Linked DNA regions of Sus scrofa. The protein of the gene in region 1 interacts with the protein of each later gene in a pairwise test. Links are inferred from orthologs where the notes say so. Each region holds a gene or a part of one and is shown in the gene's direction. Other genes may lie near its edges. The genes, in order: NR1H2, NPY and NCOA6.

Region 1 (4,216 bases):
TTGACCCCTAGCCTGGGAACCTCCATATGCCACGGAGTGGCCCCAGAAAAGCCAAAAAACAAAACAAAACAAAAACAAACAAACATGTAACTGAACAAAATCCTGAAATGCCCCTAGGGGGTTGCTTTATGTTTGAAAAAAATTCTTTTTCCATTTTATAGGCAATTTCTGTGTTTATCATAAGCTTCATGCTAAGGATGGAGAATTCTGGTGAATTGTAAATAGTATTGTGCCATTCTATCATTTGCTTGGGGCCAATTAAAATTTGTTTTACATCTGTACATGTTAAAAAAAAAGTAAACACAGAGTTACTGTAGAACTCAGAAACTCCACTCCTAAGTACACGGGAGTTCAGTCATCTCCCAATGCCGTGTTAGTCACTCTGCTTTATTGGTAAACAACCTCGGGTGGAAAATCCCACAGCTTGAAGGCCACGCTGGAATGGACAAAACAAGTCAAAAGAGACCATAGAGTATATATTCCCATTTTAAAATTTTTTATTGTTTATTTTTTGGTGCAGAAACCCAGGAACGAAATACTCCCATTTTTTAAAAAATGCTTATATGCTCGATATAGATCTAATTGTAATTGAAAAGACTTTGGAACAACTCTCATCTTCTACCTGTCCAAGTATTGAGTTTTCTTTTTGCTTTTCTTTTTTGGTCACGCTGTGGCAGGTGGAAGTTCCTGGGCCAGGGAATTGAACCCGTACCACAGCAGCAACCCGGGCCGCTGCAGAGTCAACACCGGATCTTTAACCCCCTGAGTCACAAGGGAGCTTTCTTTCTTTTTTTTTTTTTTTAATTCTTCCTATCACCAAATTATTTATTTTATGGCCCCACTTGGAGCAAATGGAAGTTCCCCGGCCAGGGACTGAATTCAAGCCCAGCAACAGCCAGATCCTTTAACCCAATGTGCCTGCCAAATGGAACCCGCACCTCCGCAGTGACCCGAGCCACTGGAGTCGGATTCTTAACCCACTGGCGGGCAGCAGGAACTCCCGAATTATTTTTAAAATACATTTTTTTTCTGCGTCTAGGTATGTAATTAACTTATTTAAAACCAACAAGCAGCTCAGTTCCAAAATCTGAAAAAATTATAACAACCAAAAAAGAACAAATACGCTTTAGAAGAGCCATGGGGGGAAAAAAGCTGTAGCCGGGGAGACGACGCCGGTAAATCCCGCGAGCCCAGGGAGGCACAGGGCAGAGTTTAAAGCAACACTGGGCGGGGCAGGGAGGTTTGGGACTAGCCACGCCGCCCTCCCGCCCCACTTTGGATTGAATGGAACCGGAACTCTTCTTCCGGCCTTCCGTGGAGCTACCCGGTAACGCGAACTTCCGGGCGGCAGCCGCCATCCGTAAGAGACAGCCGCTTAGGCTACCCCTAGACGGACCGGAATTCCGTCATCCTGACTCCACGCCCACTTCCGGAAGTGACGCGTGGTGGGGTTGCCGGAAGAAGTGGCGAAGTTACTTTTGAGGGGACCCTAGTCGCGGCGCCGTGCCAGCAGATACGGAGGCGGCAGAAGAGAAGCAGAACAAGGGGACGAAAGCAGGTGCACCCGAGTGTGGGGAGACGCGGGAGGAGCCCTGGGCCTGGGGCTTCCCGGCGTTCCCCGCGCTGCTTGGCTCAGCCCCCTCCTCTCCTTCCACCCCTTCCCTTCCTTAGCTCGCGCCGCCGCCGGCTGTTTCCAGGGCAACAAAAGTAGGAGACCCCCACAAGAAGCCGCCCACGAGACCCTCGCGCGCAGCCATGAGCCCCGCCCCCCACTGGTGTTCGGAGAGGGGCGGGACCTGGAGAGAGGTATGGGGGCGGAGCATCACGGGAAGGGGTGGAGGCAGGATGTGATGGGAGGGGGTGGGGCGGGGCCTGGAAGGGATGGGGAGACCTAGGAGGTGTGGGCGGAGCATAATGGGAGGAGGTGGGATCAGAATGAGAGATGAGGGCGCTTCCTCGGTGGAGGTGGAGTGAAGTCTGAGTAAAAGTAGGTGGGGTGAAACTGGATGGGAGAGAGGAAGTGAGGGTAGAGCACTTGAAACTGCAGGGACGAAGGGACGGGACGTTTCTGGAAAAAGCGGGTGGGCGGGATCTAGGAGTGGTTGGGGTCTAGGGGAGGGCGGGGCTTGGCCCTGCTGAGGGCTGTCCTGGAGCATAAGGGGGCGTGGCCTGTTAGAACTGGGTGGGAGGGTCCGAAGGCTGTCAGGGGCTGGGAGTGGGGTTTGTACACAGTAGGGTGAAGAGTCTGGAAGAGATGAAGAGGGAGGTGCCCCATTGAGACCTGTGGCTGGCGTAACCTGACCCTCTCTGGCCCCACAAGGCTCTCAGGCCCCCTGTATTCTGCAGGCTGCTCCGTGACCCCACCATGTCCACCCCCACCACGAGTTCCCTGGACACCCCCTTGCCTGGTGGTGAGTGACTCTCCCCCACCCAGCCACTGCCCCCCCGCCCCATCAGACTATTGTCAGGAGAAACCCACTGTGCCTCCATCTCCCAGGTAATGGTCCCCTTCAGCCCAGCACTCTGTCGTCTTCATCCGATGGAAAGGAGGATGGCCCTGAGCCATTGCCCGGAGGGGCGGACCCTGATGTCCCGAGCACTGACGGGGCCGGCTCAGCCTCCGTTGTGGGTGAGATGGCGCCCAGGCACACGGACTGGGGTTGGTATGGAGGTTTGAGGTGGGATCTAGGAAGGGAGAAAGAGCAGAAGCGGGGCCGGGCAGCGCTAGTTCCTCTCCCAGGCATCCTTGCCACCTCTTATTTTGGTCCACTGAGGTTCACTGACATACACATCTTTCTCTCTCATCGTCATCTCTCTGGGTCACCCTCTTCACTCTGGTTCTTTGCCTCCGATCTTTCGTGGATGTTTCCCTTCTGGCCACCGTTTATCTTTGTGGATTTGTCTCTCATGGCTTCTGTCCACTCATGCCAGTCATCCTAGACCCAGCAGAGGAGCCGGAGCGGAAGCGAAAGAAGGGCCCGGCTCCAAAGATGCTGGGCGACGAGCTGTGCCAAGTGTGCGGGGACACGGCCTCCGGCTTCCACTACAACGTGCTCAGCTGTGAAGGCTGCAAGGGCTTCTTCCGGCGAAGTGTGATCCGAGGCGGGGCCGGGCGCTATGCCTGCCGGGGCGGTGGAACCTGCCAGATGGATGCCTTCATGCGGCGCAAGTGCCAGCAGTGCCGGCTGAGAAAGTGCAAGGAGGCTGGGATGAGGGAGCAGTGTGAGTGCCAGGAAGGAAGCGGTGCCAGCCTGGCCCCTGCCCAGCCCTGGGGCTTCTGTTGAAGCCCGTGTCTCCCCACCAGGCGTCCTCTCCAAAGAGCAGATACGGAAGAAGAAGATTCGGAAGCAGCAGCAGCAGCAGCAGCAGCAGTCATCACCCACAGCGCCCGGAGTCAGCAGCGGCTCGGCTTCTGGGCCGGGGGCCTCCCCTGGAGGATCCGACGGGGGTGGCCAGGGCTCTGGGGAAGGCGAGGGCATCCAGTTAACAGCTGCGCAGGAACTGATGATCCAGCAGTTGGTGGCGGCCCAGCTGCAGTGCAATAAACGCTCCTTCTCGGACCAGCCCAAAGTCACGGTACTGCCCCTTCCCCAGCCTCGAGGGGTGATGGGCCCCGAGGGGTCAAGGCCCCAGGGGAGGATGTGGCTCCAGAGGGCAGGGGCTTTGAGAGGAGGGGCTCCTAGGGAGTTTCGGCTTTGTCTCGAGGGGCCCATAGCGTTGGGCCCCTGGGAAAAGTCCTGAGAGTAACCTGGCGCCCCATATCCCCAGCCCTGGCCCCTGGGCGCAGACCCCCAGTCCCGAGATGCTCGCCAGCAGCGTTTCGCCCACTTCACGGAGCTGGCCATCATCTCAGTTCAGGAGATCGTGGACTTCGCCAAGCAGGTGCCTGGCTTCCTGCAGCTGGGTCGTGAGGACCAGATCGCCCTCCTGAAGGCATCCACCATTGAGGTAATGGCCAGCCCTCCCGGCCTCAGCAAGGCCTTTCCATCCTGCCCTCGGAACCCAGCAATAAGCCCCAGGAAGATGCTGGGAGCAGAGGGACAAGCAAGACTCCAGTCCTTGTCCTTGTGGGGATGACATTCTACAGGAGACCTAAGCAAGTCATCAGAGCCTCCCACGAGGCATGGAGAGAAAGGAAACAGGGCCTGAGGCTCTGAGGATAATTGAGAATTGGAGTAAGCATTGAGTACCTAGTGTGTACACCTGGCCCTGTCCC
Region 2 (4,169 bases), on another chromosome or scaffold:
ATGAAGAATGGGATCAAAGTTAGAAAGTGTTTTGCTCTGACTTTACCAAAGGCTTTTTCACCGAAGCCGACGCCTAGAGCCTGGTATTTGTGTTACAGGCATTTGTGTTTGTGTCATGCGTGTGGAAAGAGGAATCACCTAAGAGAAAGGGATGCTGATCTGCAAAACCTCTCTGTCGCTCACACACACACTTGCTTGCTGCCCATAATAACTGCTATTTAATGCTGTCCCAATGGCACCCAAACCACATTTCAGTTTAACACAGTCACTTGCCATTTTCGCATCAACATGATGTGTGACTGAACGTTTTAATCTCCTAACATTTCATTTAGTCAGAAAGCTTCAGACTTCTAGAAGCTTTCCTTTGGGGGAACTTTAAGACCTAGTCCACTGCATGAGATCCTGCTCCTGTAAAAATAGTTTATGTGTGTCTGCTCTTCATTCCACAGGTTTAATGCGCTGTGCCCATTACTGGTGATCAGGTGTTTTGACCTGTTTCATTTCAATCAGGACCCACATTCTCAATCAACGCGCATGGACCTTTTTGGGACCAGGCAAAGGCCAGCAGAGAAAAGAGAAATTGCTGTTCAGTTAATTACCCAGTAGCTTTGGACCAACATTTTTCGTTTGCTCTTTAGGGGGTCTCTCGGCACATCAAATGGCGCTCTGTTCCGGCAAACCCATACAGTGTCCCGCCTGGGAGTTTTCAGGTGCCGAGCGGGCTCCGCGTGTTTGGCGGCGTTCTTGGGGAGGGCTGATATCCGCGAAAAACAGGTTGAGAAAGGAGCGAAGCCTCAGAAGCCTCTCCTCAGCCCCTGGGAGGAAGGGGCCGACGGGACCCTCTAGATCGGGACTTCGGGCAGGCTCCTGGGACCTGCTTTAAGCGCAGAAAAATCTGGGCACCACGTTGTCTCCCCCGAAAGCGCACAGGAGGAGTGTTCCTGCCCTTGCCGCCCGGGTCTCCCGCACAGGCTCCACCAAGCAGAGGATTCGGGTCCCTCCTACCCCGGCGCCCGGCTGGTGGGTAGTCCCGGTGTCAGACGACAAAGATGCTCTGGACTGCTCCTGTCTCCGGCAGGATTAGACGGGGCGTGGGGACAGCGAGGCTGGGCTGCTGCACCAAGGCAGGAACTTGGGCTTTGGCGTGGTCCAGCGCCCTCGGAACGCGCTGCCTCGCTCGCATCCTGCCAGTCACCCCCCTTCCCCGGGCAGGGCGGGCAGAGAGTGAGTGGCTCTGGGAGTCGACGCGCCCGCGGCAGCCGCCACAGCCCCCTCCCCCACTACCCCCCCCCCGCCCGCCGCCGCCACTCGGGGGCGGGAAGTGGCGGGTGGGAGTCACCGAGCGTGACTGCCCGAGGCCCCTCCTGCCGCGGCGATGGAGCGCCATAAAAGCCCTGCTGCGACCTGCTCTCGACACCCCATCCGCCGGCTCTCACCCCTCGGAGAGGCGCGCCGGACAGCAGAGCGCCCGTCGCCCAGCCACGCCCGCCGGCCAGCCCGCCACCACCGTGAGTGCCACGACCCTCTAGCTTGGTCCCAGCTAAGGGCGGGTGGGGAGCGCCCGTGAACTTGCCCCGGGCGCCTGGGGAGCTGGAGGGTAGCGCCTCGCTTCCCAACCCCTACGCGCCGCGCTCTCTGCGCTCCCGACGCGCGCCAGCCCCTCTTGGCGGCTCGATTCCACCTGCTCCACCTCGTCTGCTCTAATGGTGCATCCGCCCTTCTCTCCAGCCGTCCCGGGGGGGGGGGGGCATCCCTCTGGGTTAGCTGTTGGCAACTATGCAGGGACAACACGACCCTCGGGGGTCGCTGCCTGCAGGGAGGTGGCCCAGGCTGCGCCCCTCGATGAGGAATCCCCGGAGCTTGAAAGACCCGCTCTCTGCCACCTCTCGGGATCCTTGGGATCCGATCTGAGGCTGGCTGGCCCCGGGAACAGTTCTTTCCCCTCTCCCCCAAATTGCCACCCTGAAGTACTCTCAGCCATCACCGCCGAGCTGCTGCTGCAGCCGGGCCGACCAAAAGTAGAAAAGAAGAAACTTCTTCCCTCTGACCAGCGGTTTGGGGAAGAGGGTAGGAACGGAATAAGTCCTCAGCGCAGCGGGAGGAACTTCTAATCTGTTTTTAAAGTGTAAAAACTGGCGCTGGGGGGCCCCAACTGTGCACCTCTCACCGCAGCATCTTTGGCTCTGCAACTTGACCGAAGTTGCCTGGAGTTCTCGGGCGGAGTAGAGGAGCTGGGCCAAAGTAGATCTTGGCCTAAATCGCCACGCTCAGCACCCCTCTGGGTGGAGGGGTGGGGGTGGTAGCAGAGAGATGGGCGCGGGGATACAGAGGAAAGAGGTGAGGGGCGTGTGTCCTCTGAATCCGCTGCGCCTTCGGTGCCCGCAGATGCTGGGTAGCAAGCGACTGGGGCTGTCCAGACTGACCCTCGCCCTGTCCCTGCTGGTGTGCCTGTGTGCGCTGGCCGAGGCGTACCCCTCCAAGCCCGACAACCCCGGAGAGGACGCGCCGGCGGAGGACTTGGCCAGATACTACTCGGCGTTGAGACATTACATCAACCTCATCACCAGGCAGAGGTAGGTGGGCTACCGCGGGGTGGGTGAAGCTGGGAGCGCCCTGCCTGCGTACCCCAGAGATCCTGGGGGCCTTAGAGAACAGAGACCTTTCTTTTCCTTCTTTGTGTCCCATGCAGGGTAGTTATCAGACACACACATACTCAGCTCTCAGTAAATGCTGTGTGGCTGACCATCTCTCACTACCTTCTTTTTTTGTTGGGTGGAGGGAGGGGTGCACTGTTTGGAAATCTAGACAGGAGAGTACCCCGAGAAAGGCATCAGGACGGTGCCAGGGAGGTACTGTAGGGAGAAGGGTGAGCTGGGTGTCTAGAAAAACAACAGCACAAACCAAGGAGGAAACAGCTGGGTCGCCAAAGACAATGCCAGATTTTCCAACTTGCCCAGACCAAACTGAATAACTGTATTCAGGGAAAGACAAATAGAATTGGTTTTATCCCTCCTGTAGAGTATTTTATTGCATTCTCAGCTCCTTGCTTGAAAATCCTGGTCCTAATAAGTAGAAATTTAGCATGTAAACAGTTGATCTAAAATGCTGAGACTTTTCCCATTTCGTAGTAGGTGAGTTCTGAAAAGAAAATGCCCACTTGATGCTTTATTAAGGAGAAACTTAACAGTGGTCTATTCACTCTCGGGTGCATCCAGGGATCACATGTAGTTTGAGGAATTGTCTTTATTCTGAATTCCCGGAAAGCTAAGAATTTCACTCTCGATATCAGATCTTACGCAAAAAAATCAAATCCAAACGGTTTTACAAATAACATAGGATTTAAAATTTGTTTCCAAAATTGGTTCATCTTAGTTTTGAATCATTCATATCCTAATTTAATTACTGAGATCAAATGACCTTAATAAACTAAAAACAAGGTACCCTTTACAAACATTAATGTTACTGAACAATTTTAAATTGTTTTATGAAGCATTGTTTTGGTTTTTTTAAACCCTATTTCAGGGAATAGTTGGAAAGGATCCCAAGTGGGACAGAATTTATATTTCTTAAAGTTTTCTTTTTTTCTGTTTCATCTAAAATCTGTTTCAACCTGAAAGTCTTTTTAAAGTACTGATTTATATAGAAACAGAAATACAGGAAAGTGCCAGAATTAAATAGTATTGGTTTATGATCCCTGAAGACTGATCATTTTCATGAAATATCTTAATAGACTTTTCAGAAAGTTAATTGCTTTGATTCCTGCGTATGCTATCATACAGGTCAGAGAAAAGAACCGTACAAACAAAAAAAGGTATTGTTAATTTTTTCTAGGAAAGTGTTTGTTAGCGATTTAGTCTGTTATAACATACAGTAGAACTCATTTTGCAAAGATGACTGCTGTAAACCTTTACCTGTAGAAAGCGCTAGCATTTCGAAATTTTCTTAGGCATTATTTTGGTGTCTTCACCTCAAAGCTTTGAAATGAGTATAATCATCTCCATTTTATAGATCGTGAAACTAAGAACATTTCATGAAAGCTTTTTTTAGGGGTGATTACGCTGGAGCCCTCATACTGATCTTCCCTAGATGTTATCACCGCCGCCAACACTGTGTCATCTCCAACACCCTTGATGCGGGGAACATAAAGGGACTTGAGTTTCAGGGGAAGA
Region 3 (3,561 bases), on another chromosome or scaffold:
CAGCCACAACTGCCACCACCACCACAGCAGCCACCACCTCCCAGTCAGCCACAGTCTCAGCAGCAGCAGCAGCAGCAGCAGCAGCAGCAGCAGCAGCAGCAGCAGCAACAAATGATGATGATGCTCATGATGCAACAGGACCCCAAATCAGTTAGACTTCCAGTCTCCCAGAATGTCCATCCCCCAAGGGGTCCCCTGAACCCAGACTCCCAGAGAATGCCCATGCAACAGAGTGGCAGTGTGCCTGTCATGGTCAGTTTGCAAGGACCTGCCTCCGTGCCACCATCACCTGATAAACAAAGAATGCCAATGCCTGTGAATACTGCTTTGGGAAATAGTTCAAGGAAAATGGTATACCAGGAGAACCCCCAGAATCCTTCCAGTTCACCGCTAGGTGAGATGTCCTCGCTCCCTGAGGCAAGTGGCAGTGAAGTACCATCGGTCTCAGGAGGCCCAAACAGCATGCCTTCACATTTAGTAGTCTCCCAGAATCAGTTAATGATGACAGGGCCAAAACCTGGACCATCACCCCTTTCAGCAACTCAAGGTGCAACTCCCCAGCAACCTCCTGTAAATTCCCTGCCCAGCTCTCATGGCCACCACTTTCCAAATGTGGCTGCTCCAACCCAAACATCTAGGCCTAAAACACCAAACAGAGCCAGCCCCAGACCCTATTATCCTCAGACTCCCAACAACCGCCCTCCCAGCACAGAACCTTCAGAAATCAGTCTATCACCAGAAAGACTCAATGCCTCCATAGCAGGACTCTTTCCCCCACAGATTAATATTCCTTTACCTCCCAGGCCAAATTTAAACAGGGGGTTTGATCAACAAGGACTAAATCCAACAACTCTGAAGGCCATAGGGCAAGCACCTTCAAATCTTTCCATGAATAATCCTTCCAATTTTGCTGCCCCACAGACTCACAAATTAGATTCTGTGGTGGTAAATTCTGGAAAGCAGTCTAATTCTGGAGCAACAAAACGGGCAAGTCCAAGCAACAGCCGCAGGTCTAGTCCTGGGTCAAGTAGGAAAACCACCCCAAGTCCTGGGAGACAAAATTCAAAAGCTCCTAAACTTACTCTGGCCTCGCAAACAAACACAGCCTTGTTGCAAAATGTGGAGTTGCCAAGAAATGTATTGGTCAGTCCCACTCCTTTGCCCAATCCTCCTGTACCTGGGAGCTTCCCTAACAACAGTGGACTGAATCCTCAGAATCCTACTATGCCTGTTGCTGCAGTAGGGGGTGTTCTCGAGGATAACAAGGAAAGCTTGAATGTGCCTCAGGACAGCGATTGCCAGAACTCCCAGGGTAGGAAGGAACAGGTAAATGTTGAGTTAAAAGCAGTCCCAGCCCAAGAAGTTAAAATGGTTGTTCCTGAAGATCAATCCAAAAAGGATGGGCAACCTTCGGATCCTAACAAACTGCCCAGTGTCGAAGAGAACAAAACTTTGGTGTCTCCTGCTATGAGGGAAGCACCAACATCATTAAGTCAACTTCTTGACAACTCTGGAGCTCCTAATGTGACCATAAAACCCCCCGGGCTTACAGATCTGGAAGTAACACCCCCAGTAGTTTCTGGAGAGGACCTGAAAAAAGCATCCGTCATTCCCACACTGCAGGATCCGTCTTCTTCTAAAGAACCCACTGGTTCCCTAAATTTACCTCACAGTAACGAGCCGTGTTCAACCCTTGTGCATCCAGAATTGAGTGAGGTCAGTTCTAATGTTGCACCAAGCATCCCTCAAGTAATGTCAAGACCTGTCAGTTCTTCCTCCATTTCCACTCCTTTGCCCCCAAATCAAATAACTGTTTTTGTAACTTCCAACCCCATCACGACTTCAGCGAACACATCAGCGGCTCTGCCAACTCACCTGCAATCTGCATTAATGTCAACGGTCGTCACAATGCCCAATGTGGGTAGCAAGGTTATGGTTTCTGAGGGACAGTCAGCTGCTCAGTCAAATGCCCGGCCTCAGTTCATTACACCTGTCTTTATCAATTCGTCCTCAATAATTCAGGTTATGAAAGGATCACAGCCAAGCACAATTCCTGCAGCCCCACTGACAACCAACTCTGGCTTGATGCCTCCCTCTGTTGCAGTCGTTGGCCCTCTACACATACCTCAGAATATTAAATTTTCTTCTGCTCCTGTACTGCCTAATGCACCCTCCAGTAGTCCTGCTCCAAACATACAGACAGGTCGACCCTTGGTCCTTAACTCACGAGCCACGCCTGTTCAGCTTCCGTCCCCACCTTGTACAGCTTCTCCAGTTGTCCCTCCTCATGCCCCTGTCCAACAAGTGAAAGAATTGAATCCAGATGAGACTAGTCCTCAGGTGAGCACCTCAGCAGATCAGAGCACTCTGCCCTCTTCACAGTCAACCACAGTGGTTTCTCCCCTTTTGACTAATAGTCCAGGCTCCTCTGTCAACCGACGAAGCCCAGTCTCATCTAGTAAGGGCAAAGGAAAAGTGGACAAAATCGGCCAGATTTTGCTGACGAAAGCTTGTAAAAAAGTTACAGGTTCTCTTGAGAAAGGGGAAGAACAATATGGTGCAGATGGAGAGACTGAAAGCCAAGGGCTAGAGACTGCAGCTCCAGGGCTCATGGGAACAGAGCAGTTATCCACAGAGCTGGACAGTAAAACCCCAACTCCCCCAGCACCCACTCTCCTAAAAGTGACCTCTAGCCCTGTGGGCCCGGGCTCCGCCTCAGCAGGACCCAGCTTACCTGGCAGTACTCTCCCCACCAATGTACGCTCAATAGTAACCACTCTGGTACCCTCTGAGCTCATCTCTGCGGCGCCGACCACAAAAAGCAATCATGTTGGCATAACATCTGAGCCACTTGCAGGTGGCCTAGTGGAGGAGAAGGTGGGATCTCATCCAGAGCTTCTGTCCAGCATAGGTATGTACTCGGGGCATGGCATCATCTCATGTGAATTTTTAGATGACCTATCCCACAAGAGAAAGCATGACTTCTTTTCTACTTGGAGGAAGAAGAATGGGCTAAATGGCAATAGTGATAGTTCCATTTATTTGAAATACATTGGGAAAATATTCTTTTAAAATCCTCTGTTAAGTTTACATTCATTAACATGGTTCTCAGCTCTTGAAATAATGAAACACCTTTCATTTATATAAAATATTTCATTTTACAAAGAAGTATCAACTATGTCAGGTATCCCTAACGCCATTCTACGGGTGAAAAGATTGAAGCTCAAGGGTTCAGTTTTCATTCAAAATCTATCCTGTGAGTCTCCAATTTAACATTGTTAAATTGGGTGAACAGCAGCTTCTGTGGATTCTCCTCACCAAAGTGCTTTCAGCTATTTCAAAACAGTTATCTCACAGCTTCTTCATTGTATTCTGTCAGGGTCTGTTCTCTTCTGACTTGCCTCTCCATAGGAGAGCTTTCCAAAAAACCAGGTTTCACCATAATAGACATGAGAGGACCAAAGTGGTTGAGAGATAGGCTTAGGTTGGTATCACAGTGCCAGCATTTACCAGCTGTATGGCCTTAGGCAAGTTACATGACTACTCAAAACTTTAGTTTCC

What was found.
Region 2: the proteins of NR1H2 (region 1) and NPY interact in a two-hybrid assay, tested with the Homo sapiens proteins (3 studies listed by BioGRID and IntAct). The link is inferred for Sus scrofa from reciprocal best matches to the Homo sapiens genes NR1H2 and NPY.
Region 3: the proteins of NR1H2 (region 1) and NCOA6 interact in a two-hybrid assay, tested with the Homo sapiens proteins (2 studies listed by BioGRID). The link is inferred for Sus scrofa from reciprocal best matches to the Homo sapiens genes NR1H2 and NCOA6.

The regions. Positions count from the first base shown.
Region 1 is NC_010448.4:55,237,135-55,241,350, forward strand, and holds the start of NR1H2 (oxysterols receptor LXR-beta), read left to right. Parts: upstream 1-1,401; 5' UTR 1,402-1,558; intron 1,559-1,671; 5' UTR 1,672-1,806; intron 1,807-2,232; exon of another isoform or gene 2,233-2,346; 5' UTR 2,347-2,365; coding exon 2,366-2,411; intron 2,412-2,497; coding exon 2,498-2,629; intron 2,630-2,931; coding exon 2,932-3,222; intron 3,223-3,304; coding exon 3,305-3,576; intron 3,577-3,768; coding exon 3,769-3,948; intron 3,949-4,216. UniProt on the Homo sapiens protein: Nuclear receptor that exhibits a ligand-dependent transcriptional activation activity. Binds preferentially to double-stranded oligonucleotide direct repeats having the consensus half-site sequence 5'-AGGTCA-3' and 4-nt spacing (DR-4).
Region 2 is NC_010460.4:47,990,884-47,995,052, reverse strand, and holds the start of NPY (pro-neuropeptide Y precursor), read left to right. Parts: upstream 1-1,326; 5' UTR 1,327-1,508; intron 1,509-2,385; coding exon 2,386-2,573; intron 2,574-4,169. UniProt on the Homo sapiens protein: NPY is implicated in the control of feeding and in secretion of gonadotrophin-release hormone.
Region 3 is NC_010459.5:38,131,366-38,134,926, reverse strand, and holds part of NCOA6 (nuclear receptor coactivator 6), read left to right. Parts: coding exon 1-2,911; intron 2,912-3,561. UniProt on the Homo sapiens protein: Nuclear receptor coactivator that directly binds nuclear receptors and stimulates the transcriptional activities in a hormone-dependent fashion. Coactivates expression in an agonist- and AF2-dependent manner.